Coturnix japonica: one gene and its partner. Each later gene encodes a partner of the first gene's protein in a complex. Links are inferred from orthologs where the notes say so. Each region holds a gene or a part of one and is shown on either strand. Other genes may lie near its edges.

The links.
Region 2: the proteins of MAP3K3 (region 1) and CCM2 are in contact, whole or in part, in a crystal structure (PDB 4Y5O), measured with the Homo sapiens proteins. The link is inferred for Coturnix japonica from reciprocal best matches to the Homo sapiens genes MAP3K3 and CCM2. Residues at the interface, in NP_002392.2 of Homo sapiens: Asp2, Glu3, Gln4, Ala6, Leu7, Ser9, Ile10, Met11, Asn12, Asp13, Leu14, Val15, Ala16, Leu17, Glu50, Asp82, His84, Met86, Asn88, Glu89, Leu90, Ser91, Ile92, Leu93, Arg117, Leu119, Leu121, Ser122, Gln123, Asp124; in NP_113631.1 of Homo sapiens: Leu299, Tyr302, Met303, Leu306, Arg307, Ser312, Gln313, Ile315, Gln316, Gln317, Phe318, Ala319, Ala320, Leu321, Leu322, His323, Glu324, Arg326, Glu333, Ile336, Asn337, Gln340, Leu341, Leu353, Phe356, Pro358.

Annotation. Positions count from the first base shown.
Region 1 is NC_029542.1:2,176,689-2,184,978, forward strand, and holds the start of MAP3K3 (mitogen-activated protein kinase kinase kinase 3), read left to right. Parts: upstream 1-3,389; 5' UTR 3,390-3,675; coding exon 3,676-3,679; intron 3,680-8,290. UniProt on the Homo sapiens protein: Component of a protein kinase signal transduction cascade. Mediates activation of the NF-kappa-B, AP1 and DDIT3 transcriptional regulators.
Region 2 is NC_029517.1:3,579,022-3,586,527, reverse strand, and holds the end of CCM2 (cerebral cavernous malformations 2 protein), read left to right. Parts: intron 1-77; coding exon 78-135; intron 136-748; coding exon 749-887; intron 888-1,443; coding exon 1,444-1,582; intron 1,583-3,019; coding exon 3,020-3,300; 3' UTR 3,301-5,603; downstream 5,604-7,506. Other genes in the region: NACAD (NAC-alpha domain-containing protein 1), read right to left, coding at 5,978-5,992, 6,072-6,194, 6,341-6,472, 6,550-6,696, 6,847-6,930, 7,012-7,100, 7,171-7,419. UniProt on the Homo sapiens protein: Component of the CCM signaling pathway which is a crucial regulator of heart and vessel formation and integrity. May act through the stabilization of endothelial cell junctions. May function as a scaffold protein for MAP2K3-MAP3K3 signaling.

The DNA of each region.
Region 1 (8,290 bases):
TTTATCAAGTTTTTTCTTCTCTTTCTCCACCAATTTACTCCTTTGCACAACTCTCTGGCTGTGGAGATCTACAATAAGGAAGTTTTGGTATGAGACAGCGCTCAGCCTGGAGACTGCTAAGCTCTCCAGGAAGGATGTGTGTACCTAAACAAGAAGGGAAACAGGAAGGAAAGAAGAAATAGTACATCTGATAGCAAGGAGAGGATGCTCTTTGAGTCAGACAGGTATGCTTCAGAAAGTGCTACCAGAATAGAACGTATGATGGCACAACGATTAAGAGCTTGGGAAAAGATGCCAGGAGCTGAATCCCAAAGGGCTGCTCCAGTCTTCCTGTGCAACTTCTAACCAGTCACTGGCTCTGTGCAGCACTCTCGTAATCCCTGTTTTCATGATTAATTTCCTTTTCTTCCTTTTTTGCAGTGTGACAGCATTAATCACCTCTGTAAAGTTCCTTTAAAACAAATGAGCTCACTATGAACATGGATGCTGCTGGGGAGTCTGGGTGAATACCTATGCTGATGATACATAAGATACCTTCAAGCAGTCTGAACAACTTTATGTTGAATTAAGTGTGCTTTGTTGTTGCTGTTTACAGAAATGAAGCTTCTTTTCTGGAAAAAAGCAGCTTGAAAAGGATGTGGGCAAATCTGGGTGGAAAACCACAGACTATCATCTTGTACTGCGGTGTTACTGTAAAATGAATAACCTCATTTTTATGCTGAAAATTTGCATTAAGCAGGGAGTAAAAGTGAAAAAAGAATTATTCTTACTTTACCCCTGAAGATATATTAAATGGGCACCTGCTAAATTTCCATGGTAGAAATGTAGCTGCAGTTCAGGAAAGGTACAGCAGCTTGTCCAGGAAAAATAATGTGAGGAGGGAAGTCTGCAGTGCCCCCCCCTCAAACAGCCTAATGGCACTTGTATATAGGCAGTGTTGTGATAATGTCTCTAAAAAGAGAATAGAGATGCAAAACAGCAGTTTTTGTCTGCCTGTGTGTGTGTGTCAGGCTAGATAGGTGTGTGGAGTAATGAACCATTAAGGACAAATCGTTCTGTTTTCAAAGGAAGAAAAAAGCTTCAGTGAAATCCAGGCTTTCTGGTTAACTGGGGATGGAAGGGGCACATTGCACTGGGGTGCCCATCTCCTGCCATCTGCTGGGGTCTCCTGGCTCATTGACACGGGTAGCAACTAGCAAGCCTGGTATCTGTTTAAGTAAAGCAGCTTTCTGCACAAAGGGCTTCAGTGGGTTTCATGTAGCAGGACTTTGGCTGAGCATTTTGTATGAAAACATGGAAGAATTGGAAGACAGATGAAAATACTGAAGGGTAAAGTGACTATAGTGTGTTTTGACATCAGAGCTGATGCACTAGGGAATTAATCCTGAGTTTCTCCACTTCTAGTGCTGCAATTAATCATTAAAACCTTTCTATAATGACCTTGGCACACAAGAAAAAGAATCAAGTGTGATAATTAAATGTGGTGATGAACAGAAGTGGGGAGCTTTCCTAATACAAGGGAACTAGAACATCTTAGGGAACTGATGGCTTTGAAGAGTGAGAAACAGGCAGGAGGTGAAATTCAGCAGCAGAAAGTGTGAAGCTGTGAATGTAGATGTGAAGGAAAGGAGGCTGGATTTATTTAGTAGTTAAATGGTAGCAGTGAGTGTGAAAATGCATTTAGAAAGATTGGTCTAATGGCAAATATGATGATGCTGTCATATAAAAGAGAACTAAAATTAGAATAGAGGCCCAAAAAAAGGCTACCAGGAAGGCACCACAGAGACTGTGTTATTAGAAGAGTTAAAATGGCTTACTCATCTATTAAAGTGGAGCCTGAAATGGGATATGATTATCTTCTTGATGTATTTAGAGAGAAAACACCAGGGAAGAGGAAAGGATAATTTAAGTGAAAGGATAATCTTGGCATGAAAACAAACAGCTGGGCACGAATGTACAGGAAAACTAGAAAGAGTTTTGTAATTTCAGAGTGATACAAGAGATGCTAAAAATGAGCCTAAACACTGGTAATGTTGGGCTGTGTTTTCGGATGGGAACTTGAAGGTGATATGTGTGGAAACCCTCTGCTCCAAAACCAAAGGCAGGGCTGAGATGATTGGCTCTGTGCACAGCTTCTGGCCCTTGATGGCTCAGATCTGTTGATCTAAGCATTCCTTTACAGATTGATTTGTCTGTCTCATTTGGCGTAGCAGGATCTTTTCATTATCCCAGATAACATCATCATGATTTGGTGATGCCCTGAACTCTTCCTGGCCCTCACTTTAGGCAATTTTTCCTTTCCAATCCAGTTTTCCTTCCTGTGTTTTCCAGCTGATGCAGCCTCTCAGACATGAAAACATTTAGAAAACAACACGCTTGCTGTTAGATGTCTGCTGGATAGACAAGCAGCTGCTGAAGCCATCTGCTCAAGGTGGGATTCCCAGCAGCAGGGTGGCCATCATTGCATTGAGGAAGGAGAGCTGGACTTGTTCTTAATGAAACAAAACCCCTCTGCTATGCCAAATACACCCCCAAGGTGGAATGGAAGCAGGGCAGAGCAGCTGAAGGCTGGCTGCTGTTTTTAGAAGATGAGTTGATTTATGGAGCTTGAGGTAGAATTATTAGCTTAGATTGGACAGGAACAGCAGTTCTTTGCCCTAATATCTGTCTCATGGCATGTTTGTGTTGTGTTTAGCAGGGATGTTTTCTGCTTTATGGGCACAAGGGGAGGTGGCAGCTGGGAATGTTAAAGGAGGAAGAGCCATCAGGAGCCCATCAGCAGGTGAATGAATGGCACAGGTGAGCAGTTCTATTTCTAAGGACACAACAACCACATCCTCATTAATATGAACCCCTAAATGAAAGGAGAGGGGTTGAGTGAGCTCCAGCCTCGTGTACCTAAAGCTCATCCATGTGGATTTACTTTCATACCAAGTAACTTCAACAAAGGCACCGTGCCTTTCCCCATTTCCCCCCTGCCTTTCCCCCCTTCCCCTTGCCTTTTTCCCCCTTCCCCTTGCCTTTTTCCCCCTTCCCCTTGCCTTTTTCCCCCTTCCCCTTGCCTTTTTCCCCCTTCCCCTTGCCTTTCCCATCCCATATTGAGCCCTTAGGGAGAAGAGCCGGGAGCGGTGGGCACTAGGACCCAGCGGCGCAGTCCGAGCGGTGGGCGGGGCCTCGCTGCCGCCCGTCATTCTGATTGGCAGCCGGCTGAGGGCCGGTCCCCTCCGTTGGCGGGCGAGGAGGCGGGGTCAGCGCAGCGAGCAGCACGACCCCCAACGATTGGCTGGCGACTGTCTGAGCGGCGAGCCGATTGGCGGGCTGTGCCGTCGGGTGGGTGGCTCGGCGGCGCTGATTGGCTGAAAGCGGCGGGTCGGCCCCTGTGATTGGCAGGCGGCGGCGGCGGGTGCGCGGTGGCGGCCGAGCGGTTTGTTTTGCTCGCGGCCCGGTCGCTCGGTGCCGCCGGCGGCGGGTGGGGAGAGACCGGCACCGGCCGAGTCCCGGCCCCACAACCCGCAGCCCGGAGCGGGGCCGCCGGAAGGAGGCGGCTGTTTGGGCCTGGGAATGTGGCGGCGGCTCTGAGCCCTCCCCCTCGGCCCGGCCGCCATGGAGAGACGGCGGTGACAGCAGCGTACCACAGCGCGCCGCCCGCACGGAGCGGGCCCAGAGCCCACAACCATGGGTGAGAACGGGGGGTGAGCGGGATGGGGGCGGCTGTAGGATCGGACAGGACTGGGCCGCGATTGGGATGAGGGGCGGGGGCGGGACGAGACGGGGCGTCGCCTGAGGGAGGGGGGGGAACGGCCGGGGGGGCCTTAAATCTGGATGTTGGGCTTAGAAAGTCGGGCTGGGGGGTCTTAAATCCTCGATATTGGCCTTATAAAGTCGGGCTGGGCTTTGTGGTGTTGGTACCCGATTCACTTTTTGCTTTTCAGCGGTAAACGATGTAGTTTTTCTAAAGCAAGATCAGGTTGGACGGGGCCTTGAGCAACTTGATCTGTGGGGTCTCTATGGGGATCTGTTGGGATCTATGGGGTCTCTATGGAGTCTATGGGGATCTATGGGGTCTCTGTGGGGATCTATGGGGTCTCCTGGGCAACCTGATCTAGTAAAGGTGTATGTTTGGTGGCCCTGCTAGGCAGGGGGGTTGGAACTACATGATCCTTGAGGTCCCTTCCAACCCGGGTCACTCTGTGATTCTGTAAAGCAGAACTGACTCATTTGCTGGCAGGGGAATCACTGCTGTTACCTGCAGCGCTTTGTGGGCCGTAGCTTTGATTCTTCCTCCAAGTTTGGTGCTGTGGGACTCCCTCAGCGTTCAGTCTGTGCATGTAATATGTTCACTTCTTTATATTGTAACTGCATTGCAAACGTCACTCCAAGCAAATGCAGGATGTTCCGTTCCCTTTGTGCCCTGAGACGATCCCAGGCACAGCAAGACCTACAAGAAATGCCTATTGTATAAATGCAGTAGATGGGCAGGTCTATAAGTGGGCTCCTCTTCTCTAAAGAGAGATGTCTGGTGTTCCCCAGGCAGTGTTATCTCTGCAGGAGCCAACCTGATGGTGCAGAACTCACAGCAGCCAACCAGGAGGGTGCAGAGCTTCCATGGAATTGCTTTGTGGGGCTGTTGGATGCCTCTTGATAAACACGTGAGCACGGGATGAAGAAGAACAGTTCCACGGTCGTGTTGTAATGGCAATACTGATTGCTTGCAAAGGGAGAGATCCAAACTCATTAGGCTGTTGTGAGCAGATCTTTTAGAGACTGTTTTGCTGTGACCCTGAGCTTTCTCCCACCTTGTTTCTCATGAGATTCTCTGACAGATGAGTGCTGCCATTGAGAGGTCAGTGTTGCAGGTTGCTGAGCTCCATTGATAGAACCACAGCTCGCTGGCACTTCGCAGAAAGGGCAGTCATTTCCAAACCTGTGCTTTCCAAACAGAGCTCCTCAGCAGCAATAGGCTCACTTGCTTCTAATACAGAGAAACGTGAGTGTATGTGGGAAGCAGAGGGGAGGAGCAGCACTCAGGCCCAGAGTGAAGTGCTCCTTGCAGTCCTGCTGCTGAGGCTCTCCCCGGCCTGCTCTGCTTTCCTGCCTGTGTCACTTCCTTCCCTTAGCTCTCATTGCCTGGCGCTGTGCAGTGACAGCCCCCACTGCTGGGGGAGGGAGGGGGCTGAGCCCAGGGTCGGTCAATGCCAGCTACAATCCTCAGTGTGAGGAATTTCTCAGTGTGAAGAACCTCAGATACATATCCCAGCTCCATAGGGATGCTCAGCTTTTTCTTCTAAACCTTCAGGCCAAGTTTTCTGTTTGAAATAAACTTGCTCGTTGCCCCTGGTTCTGCTGGCAGAATAGCCAGCAGCATCGCTGTTGGTGGCAGCAGATAACAAATGCGTGTGTTTGCTTTTCTCAAACAACTTCTAGTGCCTTCTATTATCATGCTATATAAAATACCATCCTGGATCATAGAGGTTTACAGGCTTTTCTGCACTCTGCAGACGCTTTTACTTTGGGGTTTGTTTGTTTTTCTTTAACCCTATTCCTGTTTTGTACCACTGCAAACACACCGACCTGCTCGACCCCGTGGAGCAAACCCTGTACGCGTGGAAATAAACGCGTTATGAGGATGAAGGGTTTTCTCTGTGAGCAGCAGTTCCCCTTTATCCGATGGTAGAAAACCCGTGAGTGTAGTTTTTCAAACATGAGAAGCATTTCCTGGACAACATCTTTGAGCACAAAGCAGAGCTGTGTTTCCCAGACCTACTGGAGACGTAGCAGCAAAGGGTCCTTCAGTGAGCTTCCAAAATTGCTTATTTTTCATTCCTAATAACTTTTGCATTGTGTGATTAATGTGATGCTGCTGCATATACTCCCTTAAAGCCAATCTGTGCAAATCCTCTCTTTGGATGGAAAGAAAGAAGTATTCATGCTTGGTAACATTAAATCCATCACAATGTTGTCCTGAATGGAAACATTTCTTCCTTTGGCAAATGTGTATTTCACACCGATTTTGTGTTAAAAAATGATAAATACTCTGTTTCCCACCAAAACAAGGATGAATTCTCTTCTGTATATTGTCTGAGGGAGATGGTAGCCCAGTCTGTGATACTAACATCACATAAGCTCCACCTGCTGCTGCGTGGCATAGCGTGGCTGTGTGCTGTAAGATCATAGCATTAGTGCTTGCCTGCAGGTGAATGGAGCACCCAGCAGTGCTGCGACCCTTCCTGCTCACCAGGGGGTTCTGCTGCTACCCAGGTGCTGCCATGAAGAGTTTCACGTTGCAGAGTTGTGTCAGTGCACAAGTGAGCTAGTAAGTAGTTGCACATCTAAGCTGCAGCCTGCATCAGGAGGCTGTGGATGCCCCATCCCTGCAGGCATTCAAGGCCAGGCTGGATGTGGCTCTGGGCAGCCTGGGCTGCTGGGTGGTGACCCTGCACATAGCAGGGGGTTGGAAATGGATGAACATTGTGGTCCTTTTGAACCCAGGCCATTCCATGATGTGATTCTGTGATATGATTTTGTGATAGGAGGCAGATAGCTGCTCGGACACGTGTCTTCTCTGCCCACTTCCTCCAGCAAATGAGAGACTTTGAAAATCAGCCGACGTGAGCACAGCCTGGGCTTTGGCACCAACAGCTTGTGAGTGCATCTCAACTGCTGCTCCTTGTTTTGGAGTGAGGTGCCATGGTGTTCAGACCAATTTCTCATTCATAAACGTATTCTTTGATTGACTTGATTCCGTGTTATGAGCACCCAGTTAGAAGCTGTTTTCATAGCTGTTTTGCTTGCCCAAAGGAACCCTGACCGTCTGCCAAGACAAGCTCTTCTTCATCCTCCTGGTAGCCAGCCAAACCCAAACTGTGCTGTAGTGGAAAACTTGCATCCCTGCTCCTCACATTGTGCCTTGGGTGCTGGGAGCTCAGCAGTTCACCACTCCATCGTTGTCACGGTTTGTTATGCGGAGGTGCAGCCCCTATTGGCTGCCTTGCTCAAAGATTATGCTCAATACCAAACAAGAGGAAGGAATGAGAGTAAATTGGAGATGCTCCAGGGAGGTAAAAGGGGAAGCGTTCAGATGTAAGGTTGAAAACATTTTTTTTGTTAATAAAAAAATAAAAAGCATGCTGTGCTGAGAGGAGAAGGCTGTGGGGAGACCTCATTGTGGCCTTCCAGTATTTGAAAGGAGTGTATTAGCAGGAGGGGGAATGGGTGTTTGTGAGGGTGGGCAGTGATAGGACAAGAGGAATGGTTTTAAATGGAGACAGAGGAGGTTTAGCTTGGATCTTAGGAGGAAGTTTTTCACCCATAGGATGGTGACGCACTGGAACAGGTTGCCCAAGGAGGCTGTGGATGCCCCATCCCTGCAGGCATTCAAGGCCAGGCTGGATGTGGCTCTGGGCAGCCTGGGCTGGTGATTAGCAACCCTGCCCATAGCAGGGGGTTGGAACTGGATGAGCACTGTGGGCCTTTCCAACCCAGACCATTCTATGGTTCATTCACAACCTTTTTTTCACATTTTTCTCCCACAAGGGGTTACGGAGTGCTGAGATGGATCCTAGCAATTATTTCCTTTGGCTGAAGTGCTCTTCAAAAGCAACCTCTTCTTTTGGTTATGTTACTTACACCCCTGCTATAAGAGACAGTGTAGTTATTGTCCCATCTGGCTTGTCTTGGAAAGCAGCGATTTGGGGCAAATGGGATGGGAGAGTTCTTTCCATCCCCATCTCCAGCCTGGCCTGCTTGTTGTTGCTGTTCTGATGGCAGTGCTCAGTAGCGCTCACATCAGCTCGAGCATATCTTTGAATTTATATAACCTGATCAGCTTTATCTCTTAATAAATGCTACAGTGCCTTGTCGAAATCCCGTAGTAGCCCATAATAGGCTTTTTCTCAGTGATGCTGGGAGCAAATGTGAATGCAAGATCTCAGAGTGTGGGCTCCAAAGTGAGCTTCAGCTCTGAGCAGCGCTGTGTTGCATTTATTGATTCCTGATACGATCAGAATCATTGAAACCATGAATTTGTTTGTTAATAGTCCCTTGAAGCCCCAGAGCTGGGGAACTCTGGTATCTGGTCTGCTACACATGAAGAGGTTCCAGAATGAGCTCAAACATGCTGCTTGGATTGAAAATGCCTCCTGTTGTTCACCTTGTGTCCCTTCAGCGTGTCAGAGCAGCATCAAGCTCCAATGCTATCAAGAAGGCTGGGTTTAAATTAACTAGAAGAGGTTTAATGGGAGTACAGTCCTGTTTTTCTAATGGTTAAACAATAGCTCTTACCTTTGGGGGA
Region 2 (7,506 bases), on another chromosome or scaffold:
GTGTAGGGCAGTGGCTGGGAAAAGCACTAAACTTCTGCCTCACTAGCAGCACTACAGCATGAATGTCTCTCTTGCAGATGACTCTTCTACAAAAGTGGATGTTAAAGAATCATACGAAACAGAAGCAAGCACTGTGTAAGTGGAAAGCGAACGTGATAACTCAGCACTGGAGACAGTGCCTCATTCATGCAGCCCTGCTGTCTGTCAGGTTTAAGCACAAAAGCAGACAGTGCTGCAGTTTGCACTTTGGAAAGTTTCTGATCAGCCTGGTTGGATCATTTGATAGCATTTTTGCTATCTGTCTGCGTGCAGGACTGTGGTCCTGCCTCCTCAGCATCCTTGGCTGCATTGTTCTGTTACTGCAGCTTTCTGGGGAAGATCATGTGTGCAGAGCAGAGCTCACAGAGCTGCTTTGTCATGTTTCTTCCTCCTGAATCAGTGACCATTGGAAATGGCAGAAGCATCTGTGGGCTGAAAACCTGATGCATGAACGGGTTGTTCCCTGTTGAGAATCTGAGAATTTCAAATTTAACACCAGAATAAGGTGTTTGGGGACCTCTTTCCCCATTGGTCTGAAATGAGAAAGCAATTGGAGGGGATCTCTTCCCCTGTAGGGCTTCATATTCTACACATCACAGGGACAGTCCCTCTGTGCTGCACATGACCACTCCCCTAGACTCTCCCATGCTGTGCTCAGCAGGAGGTGCCTAAGGAGCTCTGGATAGCTCACAAGCCATTTGTGTTTCAGTTCCTTTCCAGAAACCTTGGATGCAGGTGACAACTCTCCCTCTTCCTTCTTGACACAACAGTCTCCACACATCAAAACCATCAGTGAGAGCGAGCTGAGCACTACAGCCACAGAGCTGCTCCAGGACTACATGATGACGGTAGGGTGCCCTCAAGGCTACGTCTGCCCATAGGGAAGGGTGGGAAGGTTTTCTTCCCTTTTGGTGTTCATGGGAGCACATTTGTGCCCTTGGCATCGTCTGAGCTCCTCCCTGTTGGTTCCAGCATTGTCTGGGCCCTGCAGGTGATGTGATTTTGTCCACGCTGGTGAAGGAATGCATCACCCTTTCAAAGAACTCATGCCTGGAGACCAGTGCAGGCACTCATCTTTCCCATTCTAAAGCACCTGCACCTTGTTGTCCCCTCTCACTGTGATGGGGCACACACAGTGTTCCCATGTCCATCGCTTCATGACCTGCACTTCTGCAGTGTGCTTACAGCTTTTCCCAGTTAAAAAGCTGGACAGCTGGCAGCTCAGGGCAGTTTGCACCATCCCACCCTGCTGAGTTCATCACTGCAGCTCAGTGGTTCTCACCACAATAGAAGCAAACCCCATTCCCAGGCTTCCCACCATCTCTTCTCCCTCCCATCTCATCAGAACTCAAAGAGTGCTCTAAAAAAAAATCAGCACAATTTGTGGTGTGCTTATGTCCTCAGCTACGAACAAAGCTCTCTTCCCAAGAGATCCAGCAGTTTGCAATGCTCCTGCACGAATATCGCAACGGAGCCTCGATACACGAGTTCTGCATCAACTTGAAGCAGCTCTATGGGGACAGTAGGAAGTTCCTGCTCTTGGGTGAGTGTCTTCCCTTTGTGTTTGGCTTTGTTTTTGCCTGCTGCTGGTTGTCATCTAGGCTTCCAGATGAGCTCCTTGGCTCCTCTGATACCTTGGTTTGGTGGCTTAGTGGTAGCACTCGATGTCCTTGGCCAAGCAGTGAGGTGTTAAACAGTACAATTTGGGTGTTCAGCTAGTTGGACTGATGAGATGCCTTGAGGATCTGTGCTCTCACAGCGTGTCCTTACAGTCATGGAGGGAAGGTGTGCACCAAGTACAGTGCCAGCAGACACATGCTGACACCATTTCTTGGGAGGCAAGCGGGACCATTTCCTTTCCCTTCACTAAAAGGAGGCCAACTGCCTCAGAGGCTCTCAGAGTCCCTCAACTCAAGCTCCTTGCTTTCATTTTGGCTCTAATAATCTGAAACAACATTAATGGCAGAGAGCAAAGGAACCTCAGGGCTGAGCACAGGGCCCTGCCTCAGCTCTCACTCACGGATGCCTGCTGCTGCTCTCATTTAGATAGAGAGCTGCTGAAAGCAGTCAGAGTGACTCAACAACACAGGGAGGGGGGGCTGCGTGGCCTCCACTCCTTTTGTCCTGGGCACACAGAAGCAGTCAGGCATCTGCACCAGCACAAAAGCATTTTCTTTCATCCCTATGCACACAGCCTGCTTGCTTTTTATGTCGCCATTACCAAAGCCAACACACAACACAATCCCTGTGCTGGGAGGCTGATTTTATACTGACTACACTGCTGAAAAGCAGTTTAGACTCAGCTTTCCTGTAAAGAATCATAGAATGGCTTAGGTTGGATGGGACCTTAAAGATCACAGAGCTCTTAACTCCCTCCTGCAGCCCCTACCAGAGGCCTTGCAAGTTTTCAGGTGTACACTTCCCTTGGTGGGGAGGGGAAATCACTGTGGCCCTAAAGGTGGGGTTGGGAGAGGCGAGGGGAGTCAGTAGCACGCCCAGAAACTGCCAGAGACAGAGCTGTGTTGGCTGCTATAATGAAGCCACTCACTTCATAACCCCATGCTGTGACCCTGTGGTGACAGTGCCCAGTGTGTGATGCTGGCCCACAGCAGGGTGCAGGGATGCAGACAGATGGCCCCCAAGTGCTCCGCATGCACTCTGCTGGGGGCCTTAATCTCACGCTGATGCTGTTACACTAACGAGATGAGCAAAGCCCAGCAATATGGCTCAGTGATGAAGTCGCAGACAATCCTTTTGAGCTCAGAAATCCCACTTCAGGCCCAGGAATTGTCCTTGGCTTATACACATCTGCCTTTCTTGGGGCTGTCATCATGACACACAGCCACGAGATGGGAGCACCAGCAGCCCCAAAAAGCACTGCTCAGAGCCTGAACCCCAAAACGAGCTCCTTTAGTAACCCCTACCTGCATGAAACACAGCAGCTCATGTTCTCCTCCTTGTCTTTGCTCCCCTGGGAAAGGCCTGCGGCCCTTCATTCCTGAGAAGGACAGCCAACACTTTGAGAACTTCCTGGAAACCATCGGGGTGAAGGACGGCCGTGGCATCATCACGGACAGCTTTGGGAGGTACAGGCGGACGCTGAGCACCACCTCCAACTCCACCACCAATGGCAATGGCGCAGCTGGCAGCTCTGATGACCAGTCTGTGCCCTCAGAGGAGGACGAGTGGGACCGGATGATCTCACACATCAGCAACGACATCGAGGCGCTGGGCTGCAGCATGGACCGCGACTCCTCCTGAGAGCCAGCCGGCTTCAACAGCACCTGCCCAACAGACCCTCGTTTCCAAAGAGGTTTTTGGGGTGGAGCAGGATGTAGTCACTCTCCCATCCACACCAACGGCCATCTGTGCCCTCTTACTGTGAAGGTGTGCGTTGCCACAGGCACGCTGCAAAGGAGGAGCCAGGCAGGAGCCCATCCTCCAGCCTTCCCTGGTTCCGTCAGCCGAGTGGGGAGCAAGGCTGGGAGAGCCCTGTATGGAAAAGGTTGCCTACAGCCCTCTCCCTCCCTGGTTTACAGTTTTGCACATGGTGTCCTTCTTGTAACTGCTCTCCTCCTCCCCTCTTTTGAATGAAGTTTACCACAATGTGAATTATTTAAGCCTAGCCTTGCAGTTGGCACAGCATTTTGCATCCAGGCCTGCAGGGGCTCTGCTTCCCCCCCTCCACTCCATCCTCAGCTTGCAGCCAGCTGGGCTCACCAGTTTTGTGCTTTCACTTCTGTCCTGCAGGGAGCCTGGATTACAAACACCACCCGACCCACTCCTTGCCTTTGCTCCAGCAGTTGGCAGGATGGAGGCAGCGCCTGTCCCACGTTCACAGTCGTGGGAGGTGACACAAAGCCTCTGCTGGCTCCTGAGGTCCCCAAGGACATTATCACACACCCATGGAGGTGAGAGCTGCTCCTGGACAAACACAATGGGGTCTCCAGCACACGGTGTACATATTGTAAATATTTTACACGTGGTTATAAATACACACTTATTTTTTTAATCTATATCCCTTGCCCAGGAAGCAATCCTGCTTGAAGGGAGGTGCTGGCAGAACCCACAGGCACGCAGCTCTGCTTGCTGGGCACACAGGAGCTGGGGTAGAAGCAACCACAGTCAGCACAGAAACACAAGCAGCAGGAAGAGAGCACAGGCTTGAGCAGGTCGTAGAACTGGAGCTTCCTATTCTTTGCCCACTGCTGTGAGTATGAGGGGAAGCACAGGCTGCAGCCCATTTAGGGAAGGACTGTCCCTGTTTTGTTTCATACTCATGAGTGCTGCTGCGCTCAGCATTGTACCCCCCCAAAGCCCTGCCCTTGCCCAAAGCACCTCCAGCACCATCCTGTGAAGGAGGTGGGATGGAAGAAGGACCAAATGCAGTGAGGAGTAGGGGTGGTTCTGTTATGTATAACACAGGGACACAGAGGTATCCCTGTGCCCTTGCCTGGAGCTGGCTGGCCTCTGCAGCACCCAAACCCAGACACTTGCTCAGCACTTTGCAGGAAAAATCCAGCCCCTCCAGCACATTCCTCTGTGCTTTGTCCTGTGCAGGGCTGCGTCTGCATCCTGCACTGCTTCCACTGCAGTAACACATCCCACAGCTCCCACTGCCCTTCCCATGTTGCTTATCCTCCGCAGCCCCATGCAGAAGCTTGTCACCATCCTCCCAGTGCCCAGGCTGCTCCCTCATTAACCAAATGACTTCCCATTGTGGATCCATGCTCCCTTCACAGCTGGGACAGAGCCCACCAGAGCCAAACCTTCATCCCTACATCCTCCCCCTCACTCTGCTCTGCCCCTCTGGGTACCTCTTACCCTGCTCCTGCAGGCACAGCAGTCCAGGATTGCAGCCCCAACGACCCCACAGCTCAGTGCTTCATCTTTAAAAGGTGCACACTCGTGTCCTGCTATGGGGCACTTCCTTTTAAAAGGCAGCTCCACGCCGCAAATCACAGGCCATAAAACTCTTCCCTTCGCCATTTGAGGCTGCTCTATCAGCAGAAGGACCACAAGCAGGAGAGCAAAGAGAGCTGCAAGCCCTGCAGCAGCATCAGGGTTAGGAACAAGTAACAAAACCTCACAAGTCAGGAGCACAAGCATTGAGCTCCCACTGAGCATGGGAGCATTGCTCCAGCACCCTGGCTATGCTGAGTCCTCAGTGCCTTCTTACACATGCAGGTCTATAAAGAAGAAACCACCACCACCGACACAGACAGCGTCAGGAAATCTGGAATAGCCCTATTTTTGGATTGATTGTATACAGAGATGCATTTAGCAGAAGCCGTAGCAGCTCACAGGTATTTTTTTATACCCTCCCTTACCCCCCCTTTGCTGGGAAATGTGATTTAGTTCTGGACAGAACTGGTTGTTAAAGCTCCGCTGAGGTGACTGAGTGTTTCCCCCACAAAACCCCACCTGCTGCTCCCCCCCAACCATGACAAGCCCCCAAGACCCCGAGCACCATAGGGGGAACCGGGGACACCCCGGGGGTGTTTTGTATGTAATGCTTTCTGTATGGAGTATTTGTTACAGGTAAATATAACTCTGCACCTGGCTGCGGTCTGTCTCCTTGTTAAAACCCTCGCCTGCCTCTCTGCTGTGCCCCAAAGTATGTCATATTTAACATGAGGCATGCAAAAGCCTCAAGGGTTAAAGATTGGGGAACTCAGGGCTCCACCAGCCACTGCTCATCCCCAATTACTTGCTCCCCATCTTGCAGGCTACACACCCCTCTCCCAGGGCCTTAGGACCCCTCCAACCCTCTGAGAGAGGACCCCAATTACCACGCAGGGAGGCAGGGTGCGATCCAAGTGATACATGAGGCCATTTATTGAGCATTAGGAGGCGGGCAAGGCGGAGGCATGGGGCTCAAGGAGGGACATCAGGGTAAGGAGAACTGTGCACCTATACAGGGGGCCGGGGCCGGCCGCTACATGGTCAGCTCCTGCAAGAGAGAGCACAGCGTTAATGCAGGGCTGAACTGTACCCCCAAAGACATAAGGAATGAGGACACCCCTACTCACCATGATGGCATTGACAATGTCGTTATTGTTGTGCCTGAGTGCTCGCACAGCTTTGGGGCGTGAGACATTGGCCTGGGCCATGACCAACTCTATGTCCCGCACTTCCAATCCCGTCTCATCCACCTGTGGGAGCAGGAATAGTGCTGTCATCCCTTGGGCAACCACCCAACCCTACTAGTAGCCTCTCACCACCCAACCCAACACCCCTTAAGCCAGCCCTGTGCCAAACTGGTGGCTTCCCATCACCCCAACAGCAGCCTCCCACCAACCTCTTCTTCTTCCTCGCTCTCCTCCTTGATGGTGAGCGCGGGCGTTGTGTCTGTGATCAGCGGGGAGTGCTCCATGGGCACCTTGAACTTCTCAGCCGCAGCCTTGTGCACCTGCTGCGACAGGTCCTCGATCTGCAGGGACAAGGAAGGTCACCAAATGGTCCCCATGGATTATCTGACCCCGGGATGCACCCACAGCCCTGACCCACCTTGGCTTCCCCAAAGACGATGTAGATGTCAGACGCAGGGCTCTTGAAGACATCAGGCTTGGTGATGACAAAGAGGATGTTCTTGGACTTGCGGATGGTGATGCGGGTGACACCATGGATCTGCCTCAATCCCAGCTTGGACATGGCCTGAAGAACGAGACACAAGGCTGAGCTCCATACATTGTGTCCAACATCACCAGGGTCCCCAGCCCTCCAGCAATGGGAGGACACAGAACGGGGAGATCACCCCAGTGCCGCCACCACCCCAAAGCCACGGGACATCAGAACCCATCCCACCTTCCTGGCCTTCTTCTCACTGCGGCTCTGCTTGGCTTTACTGATGCTCTCCTCCCCGGTGCCCAGCGAGTGGGTGAGCGGCGCCTGTGGGGCACAGCAGTGGGAGATGGGGTGTCATGGTCTCCCAGATGCCCAGGGACAGAGTCCCCAAGCCTGCAGCCTTACCTGAGTCTGCATCGGCCGTGGCTCTGCTCCCTCCGGCTCCTCCAGCTCCGGGATGGACTCATCATTGCTCTCAGACTCATTGCATGATCCTGTAAGGGCCACAGTGAAGCTGACACTCATCTCAACACCCCAAAGCCCCCCTTGTACACCACCCCTCACCTTTATGGTTGGCCTGACCATGCCGCAGCGCTGCCTTGTCCTCAAGCAGGGCAATGGCAGGCAGGTGCTCAGCAGGGCTGGGGACACGGTAGGGCAATTCAGCCTCACTGGAGGAGCTTGATTCAGACTGCACTGAGCCCCGGGGTGCACGGCGGGGTCCCCCCTCTGCATCCAGCCCTCGTGCACCCTTACTGCCAGCCGGCACCTTCCTGCCCCTCGTCTTCTCCTTCTGTGGGGATGGCTCCGGGGCTGTGGGCAAAGATGGGAGATGCTGAGGTCACAAGATGGACAATAGGAACCCAGTGTGCTCAATCCCATTGAGTACCTCCCAAAAAT